2 linked regions of the Arabidopsis thaliana genome follow. The protein of the gene in region 2 interacts with the protein of the main gene of each other region in a pairwise test. Each region holds a gene or a part of one and is shown on either strand. Other genes may lie near its edges.

Region 1 (3,935 bases), on a different chromosome or scaffold from region 2:
AATTGTGGGAGTGGCACATGTTGAGGACTTTGAATCAATCGAAGAAGATAAGCGAAGAGCTATTTGCGAGAGAAGTGCACTCGAGTTTGCGAAGATGCTTCTCAAGGAAAGGAGAAAGTTTAAGAGTATCGGTGAAGTTGTTTCAGCAATTCAACAACAAAGCTAAGACAATTTATAATGTTCTTCTGCTGAAGTTCTTGAAAGTCTTGTTTTGATCTTGGGAGTTAATTGGCAAGAAAAGTATCACAATGCTGCTTATCACATGGATTTGTAATTTAGTGGTTTGTGGTGGTGATGATGGTATTCAAATGCATTTTGTTACAATAATAATAATAAAAGTTTAGAAATATTTTCACTTTTGAAGATTATCTACTTATCTTTATGAGATTTGACTTCCACAATCTCTACTGGTTCACTGTTGGTGTGACTGGTGAGTGGTGACAAGATGGCAGAGGACCATAAATCAGCACCGTTAGTATTCGCCACGTGTACGGTCCAAGCTAGTGGAACAAGACATAAACCATTGCTTCTCAACTCTTTCACTTTCATCGTCGGGTTTACTTCTCCGGTGTCTTCGTCGTCCTGACGACACATCAACTATTCATCAGTCACAACACCGTCAAAATAGTAATCTTTTAAGTCTTAAAACAGTCGTTTCGAATCATGGAAAAATAAATATCTTCCGGTTTTATTGATAAAGACATAGAGTGTAACAAAAAAAGAGGATACCAAGAAAAAAGTGTAACAAAAAAATGAAATAAGATAATACAAAAGGATGATGGATGACTTACAAGAGGGTTATGTTTGAAGTAAGGGGTTGAAAGAACTTGAACTTGGTCTTGTAAGAATTTTATGTAACCCATTGTTTCATGCAACACTGATGCTGCATCTGTCTATTCAAATTTTCCAAATTACATTTTTCTTAGTTAAAATGTAGAAAGTAAACTAATTTTAATTACCAAAACACATAATGTACCTCCAAAACAGTAAAATATAGTCCGTGAATATCTCTCTACAAGTAAAGGTTTCAAGCTAATACCAAATGACGTAACTATAGTAAAAGTTTCAAGTTTACATCAAAATTTAATCACCTAGATTCAGGGTTTTGATTTTAGTTCAGTATTATGTTGATAAGAGATATATGAACCAAAAACAAAGAGAGAAGGTAACTTGTTTTAGTATATTGATCCACCTTGCCATATGGAGAAACCAAGTGCTGCAATGTTGTGATTTTTTCACCAACCTTTTCTTTCTTGACCTATTTTTATGAATAGCATTTGTTAATTACTATTATTCACCCAAATAGCTGATCCATTAGATAAGTATACATAAATATACACACTTTTAAAGCCAAACCTTAGCATTTCCAAGCGATGACTTCTTCTGATCTCGCTTGCATCTCTTACCGGGTTTTGGATCGCAAACCCGGTCGTGCCCATCAGCCGACCCGGTTTTCTTCTTCAAAACAAAGAGACAAACATTAAACAAAATAAAAATTATACATTATAATGATCTTGTGTTTGACTTGTTGCATGCACTGATGCATATACTTTTTAATGATCTTGTCACTTTACTTAATGACCTTAAAGCTTGGCTAAAATTTCAAATAATATTAACTGTAGGAATGTTTTACATATATATAACTTACATTGGATCTAAAAGATTGATCATTGACCACACAGGCGTTATTGCGTGAAGAGAGAGGGGAAGCGGGAGAGAAAGAGGGTTGTGAGAAGAGCAGATCGGTGTCGTTTTGGTTTCCTCCGCCGAAACAGAGCATTTGAGGAGCATCGTTTCCGGTGAATCTGAAACCAAAGCTGTCTTCTTCTACTTCACCGGAGCTAAGGACATCATCAGACATCATAAGAACATCAGAGAAGTTCATGACACCGTCTTCTTCGTCCGTTGTGCCTCTCATCGTAGAGTTTTTTTTTCTTTTTCTTGCTTAGGCTTGTTTGTGGAATTGACAGAGAAAGAAGAAAACAAGTGAAAAGGTGAGAAACCAGAAAAGAATAGTATCAATAAATGTATTTTAATAGTAAAAAAAGAAGATGAAAAATTGCATAATTTCAGTTATAGCAAGTAGCAACAATAGTTAACTATGATATTACATCAATGGGATAAGTTGGTAAAGGAGAAATCAGAAAAATGGTAAGGCAACTTGGCCCAAGAAAACTGTTGGTTTCTATTTACTCGAAATGATGAATTTTGTAAAACAAACTAATCAAACACAAAATGTTTACGGATAAAGATATTAAAATCCCAATAGAAAAGCTCGAGAAACTCACATTGATGTAAAACTCTCACATTTTGAATTAAAAAACATACTATTTTTTTCATTTAAAATAATAATAAAAAAGTGTGAAAACTGAAAAATTATTTTTACAAAAATAAAAAAGACAAAGATGTTTGACATGCGCGAAGAAGAGTGAGGTACGTACAGCTGCAAGACCACGCTAAATTTAGGAGGGTTGACAGAGTTGAGTAGTCCACAAGTTTAGTTTCATTTTTGGACACTTAAAAGGCTTAGGATACAAGTCGTCACTGTGTCTGTTTCATTGCTATGGTAAATTAACCAAAATAAGTAAATAACCATCCATAACTTTGACTGCTTCAGGCTGAACCAAATCAGTGTGTATGGCCTGTTTTCGTATCAATCTTTACATTAAGAGCAAGTCCATTGGGAGATCCTTAACAGTTTTTAACATAAATCCTTAAGTAATTTTGGAAAAAAATAAATCTAAAATGTGATTTAAACTTGGGATCGCACCTAATTTTAGAGTTTTTTCAGTTGTTAAGGTGCGCATACGTGGCAACTAATCATTGGTTGTGTTTTTTTGACAAAACTTTTTTTTTTCTTTTGCCGTGTTTTGTTTTTCAAATCGATTTTCCTCTCTTCTCTTCTCTTGTTAACTCCGGTGGCGATTGAGCGATTGGTGATCATCATCATCACGCGTTTATATCATCAAATTGGAAGAGATTATCGACGGAATTTGTCTCTTATCCATCGTGCTCATCATCTCAACCGACGGTGCTCAACGTCGACTAGTTTGGTGAACTTAATCGGAGAGGACTGTGAACCAAATCGGAGATGGGGTTTGTCACTTTTCGGGGTCTCTTATCTCAGTTGAAGTTGCTTTGTACCAGTGTTGTATCAAAAATTCAGAATCATTATCTTCTTTGCATCTTTTTGGAGTTATCAAGGAATCAAACCCATTTTATCATTGCAGGTAACGTGGATATATGAAGCAGATGTTTTTGGTGAATGATAAGTGCTTAACCATGATTGAACCACAGAAGAAATGGTCAAAAAGAATAGAAGAATTGATAAGTGCGTTACTTAGATTTAGGAGATCAAGCTCCACGTTTCCATATTCCCACTTTGTTAATAATGTTCTTTGTTTTTAGGATTAGTTGTCGATCCCCTTTGCTTTACTTTGTGTACTTAAAGACTGCCAAGTTATGAGAAGGAATTAGACTTGATTTGCCAAAAGAAACTTGTGTTTGTGTTGTGTGTTTACACATTCTCTTAGCTTTGAAGAGGGACCACCTAACAGGGAATCAGAGTTTTGTAAATAGAACCGTCACGGTAACGTCGAAATATTTTTTGAGTCAGAGACATTGATGAGTACATGAATCCTAATAGCTTTGTGTATAGGAATTGTCCCTCCGTAAGATGCCTTGCTCATAATTTCCTTAACCTGGTAAGTTCTTCACATTGCTTATTTCAATTGATGCTTTCTTATGGTTAGAGATCTCAAAAATTTTCATGCTTAATATTTCGAGTTCTAGTCACAATTATTTACTTTGATCCTTGTATACGATTACATCAGTCGTGTCTTTAAGTTCTCTGTAGTTGAAGCTAAGTTGCGTTAAGGGCTTTTAAATAACATTTATTTGGTGATTTATGAGTGTTTGGTGTTGTATGTGATTAC
Region 2 (3,935 bases):
GTATATATAAAATTTGAGGAGGGAGCATAAGGAATTTTAGTTGCAGAGGCCCATAAATTTGATATATTGGTATGTAAAGATTGTACTAATATGTCAGCTTTTCTTTTTGTTTAATATGTCAAACTAAAAGGCAAAAAAACGAATCTTCCATCTATATTGAAGAGAATAAAATAAAACAAATTGCACTCTGTAAAAGAATTACCCCTTGTACGTATGAAAAACAAACTTAATAAAATAATAACTGTAAATATATGAGAGAGAGGGAGAGATTCACCTTGACTTGGAGTTGTAAAAACTTGACATAATCTATGATCTCATCGAGCATCGATGCCTTGTCTGTCTGTCCATTATTATACAAATAAAATACAAAAACAAAACTGTCAGAACTGAGATCCTAACTCATTTATTACTGCATTAGTTAACTTTATTATTGTAGCCTAATTAATTAATTAGCTAATCAGTGTTTAATCATTTGATTGATATATACTACTAGCTACTCCTATATATAGATAGACTACACAACCACCAATTATATGAGTAAAACAAAAAATATAAATTTACTTGTTAACTCCTGAAAGTTCTAGTTGACAGCCTAAAACTATCTCTTGAACAACTAGCTCCAAGAAAGTTCCTGATCATTTCGACACTTATTTTCATTATTTATTTTGTATTTTTTCAATTTTAGGTCTAGAAGATGAGAACTATAAATAGACGATGGAGTTTAAATTGTAAATTAGATGGAATTATGGATCGCACGAATCAAGAGTGGATGATGAATAAAATGATGGAAAGTGAAGTTTATTTTCATAATGATCCATTTAATATTTTAACTAATCTTAATTTTTGGAAACTAAACTGAAAATGAATTGAATAAAAATTTACCTTATTGCCGTTAGGAACGAGTTCTTGAAGAGCTTTCATTCTTTCCGCAATTCTCTCTCTTCGTAACTGTCCCATAAAAACATTTTTTCCAGAAAATACTCAAATCTTTTCTTCAAAAAGCTAAAAAAAATTCAATTTCGACACCTTTCTCGGTAACTGATACAAATTAATGCATCGAACAAAGTAAAATAAAAAACAAAAACAACTAACCCTTTCGGCGATACTATGAGGATCAGTTGCTTGACCTCTCCTAGCTCGGATTTTAGTCCTACTCTGCGGCGGAGCCGCCACCGTACCACCAGTAGCTGTAGACGCGCTCGCCTGAGGTTGCGTTTGCGTTTGCGTTTGTCCTTGTTGGTTCATCAATCCTCCTCCCGATCCCTATATTTCACCATAAGTCTCGTTTTCAAGAAGAGAAAAACTTAGAAAAGAGAAAGAGATTATACCTGAGGGATTTGAAAGTTAGGAAGAGATCCGGCGACGGAGAAGCCATTATAAAGAGCGTGGACGGAGGAGCCATCATTCAAAGGCATCATCATGATCGGCTGATTCCTTGAGTCGACATCGTGGCCGTGGAAGCCATCGGAGGGAAGAGGATGAGCATCATCGACGACGGAGGGCCACGGGGCCGAGGAAAAGATTTGATCGAGGAAGTCTTCGTGGTCGAAAGTTGTTGATGGAGTTTGGATATGGGAAGAAGATGAAGAAGAAGGAGTTAGAAGAGAAGAGTTCATCATGATGATGATGGGTTTCTTCTGCTTCTACACTTTTTTTTGGGAAGAGGTTGAAAAATGTTGAGGTTTATAGCTTTATTATAAAGCAGAATTGTTGTAGTCTTGTAGATATATTATTTTAATTTTAGGTTTTAATTATCATTTTTGGTGATATATTATTAAAACCTTAAAAGAACTTTTGTTTTTCTATTGTGGTTAGCAACCCATATTATATCGTGATGATGAATCGATGATTATCATCTTTTGTTTCGTTTCCGTCTTAAACTTTGGTTTCTCTTTACCCCAAATCTTAATCATTATTTTTTACAGCTTAATACGTATGAAAATAAGTCTTTTTTTAATGTACATATTGCTATCTAAAGAGTTTTATTTGATTATACTTTTTCAGATGCAAACTAGTTTTATTTTACTATACAAATATATATTAAACATTGATGGATAAGAAGTTTATTTATATGGTGCTAAGTGTAATAGCTAGCTTTTGTATACAATTATAGTTTTCTTAGATAACATTTATTGTTTAGCAATTTTATTATTTTTGTGTTTTCATGTAGTTTAATGATTTGTTTTGTTGTTGTAAAATAAATGTTGTTTTCATTTTTCTATACAAAAATTAAATATATTTAATATTTTTGATCAATTATATTTTGTTACATATTTTTTATTAATTAAATTAGGTGTAATTAATAATGTTTTTATAGAAAGGAAATAATTTAAATGAGATTTTTGTGTTTTGTTAATATGTGTAAAAAATCTTATATAAATATTATACTGTATATGGGTGATGATGGCATGCCCGTGATTATTAGTGCCTTTCTTACGTTTCAATTGTGGCTTCTAAAAATTTTACATGGACCAAGGAGTTACCTAATTAGTCCCACCAAAAACCAAATACAAGGAGGATATCCTTGTCCAATCCTAGATCTGATCGATTAAATAGAGGCTTGGATATTCACTCAAAAGGTTTTCCTAAGAAGTTGATTAACCATTTGGGTGGAATTCAAAATGTTCGAGCCATTTAGCCGGATAAACGTGAATTTATCCGAACCATACCAAAATCAAAAATACTTACTTACCCATTGAAAAATCCATTCGACCTAACGACGTTAACCTATTTTTTTTCTTTTCAGAGAGTACATCATTTTAAGGAGAATGATGAAACCAAACGACCCTTTGGATCGATGGAATTCAAGAGATGTACATTGGAGCTACCCAAAATGGTCTCGGACCACCTAAGTGTTACCCAATGATTAATCTAGCTACTTGACTATCTACAGATATACCTTAACTTCAAAATTCACTGGAAAACCAACCATTTTAATGAGAATGATCAAAAAATATTGGCTTTGGATTAAAGTAATTTAGGAGATGGTTAAAAGAGCACAGCCGCTGGTCGTTTACCCATATCTATGACCAGTTTCCAACCCATTTACTTCTAGCCCGACCAAAAACACTTGTAGTCCATCTTGGTAAGCTAATTAGTTTTACATGGTACTGCAAATTTGTTCACACACACATGGTGCATTTGTTCAACTCATATATACGAATGTTAAATAAGTTTTAAAATTGTAAATAAGTTTCTCATTATATAAAAATTTAGAATTTTCCGCAATTGATCATTAACTGAATTATGTATAGTACAAAATTACTCATAAAATGAAACATATTATATATTTATTAATACAATCCGAGAATGAAATATTACATTCATGTTTTAATAATCTTTTCACGATGATAATTGACAATGGTCTAAAATTATAAACTCGAGCAGGTACATTCATCAATGATGCTAGAGCTCTCGAAATTCTACTGTTTTTTTCTATGCCCCCAAGATCACAAACATCCTATCCCAAAGACGATACTCGTAAATTAATAATTACAAAATATGATAATAACTTTTTAAAATGAAATTCCCTATCAATATGATAACTTATCTTTTGAGCTAATCACGTACGACGTGGAGCTTTTTCTTTATAAATAGATAGTTATTATTCTTCTTTTTTTTTATTTTTATATGTAGCTGAAAATTTGGTATTTCTTTAGATTGTGCCACATTCACCATATACTCTTTTTGGGATAAATAATAACATTAAAATATTTGCAAACTTAATTTTTGTGTCCGGATGTTTGACACTTCTTCATTTGGATTCATTAACTAATACATTTAAGGTTTCGAGGTCTGTATTTTGTAGTCAGAAATATTGTTTTCCTCTTTTCCATTAATTGCTAACATGAACACATTTTAATGAAACAAAATCTCTCTATTCATTATATTTTTTTTATATAATTGCATTTTTTCACAATAAAGTTTTCTAATAA

Evidence for each region.
Region 1: the proteins of LRL1 (region 2) and AT1G49830 interact in a two-hybrid assay, tested with the Arabidopsis thaliana proteins (one large-scale study listed by BioGRID).

What each region holds. Positions count from the first base shown.
Region 1 is NC_003070.9:18,444,742-18,448,676, forward strand, and holds AT1G49830 (basic helix-loop-helix (bHLH) DNA-binding superfamily protein), read right to left. Parts: upstream 2,032-3,935; 5' UTR 1,919-2,031; coding exon 1,649-1,918; intron 1,459-1,648; coding exon 1,357-1,458; intron 1,259-1,356; coding exon 1,193-1,258; intron 894-1,192; coding exon 792-893; intron 610-791; exon of another isoform or gene 583-609; coding exon 370-582; downstream 1-369. Other genes in the region: MTK (S-methyl-5-thioribose kinase), read left to right, coding at 1-166.
Region 2 is NC_003071.7:10,320,559-10,324,493, forward strand, and holds the start of LRL1 (LJRHL1-like 1), read right to left. Parts: upstream 1,866-3,935; 5' UTR 1,620-1,865; coding exon 1,329-1,619; intron 1,300-1,328; exon of another isoform or gene 1,264-1,299; coding exon 1,093-1,263; intron 949-1,092; coding exon 883-948; intron 341-882; coding exon 275-340; intron 1-274.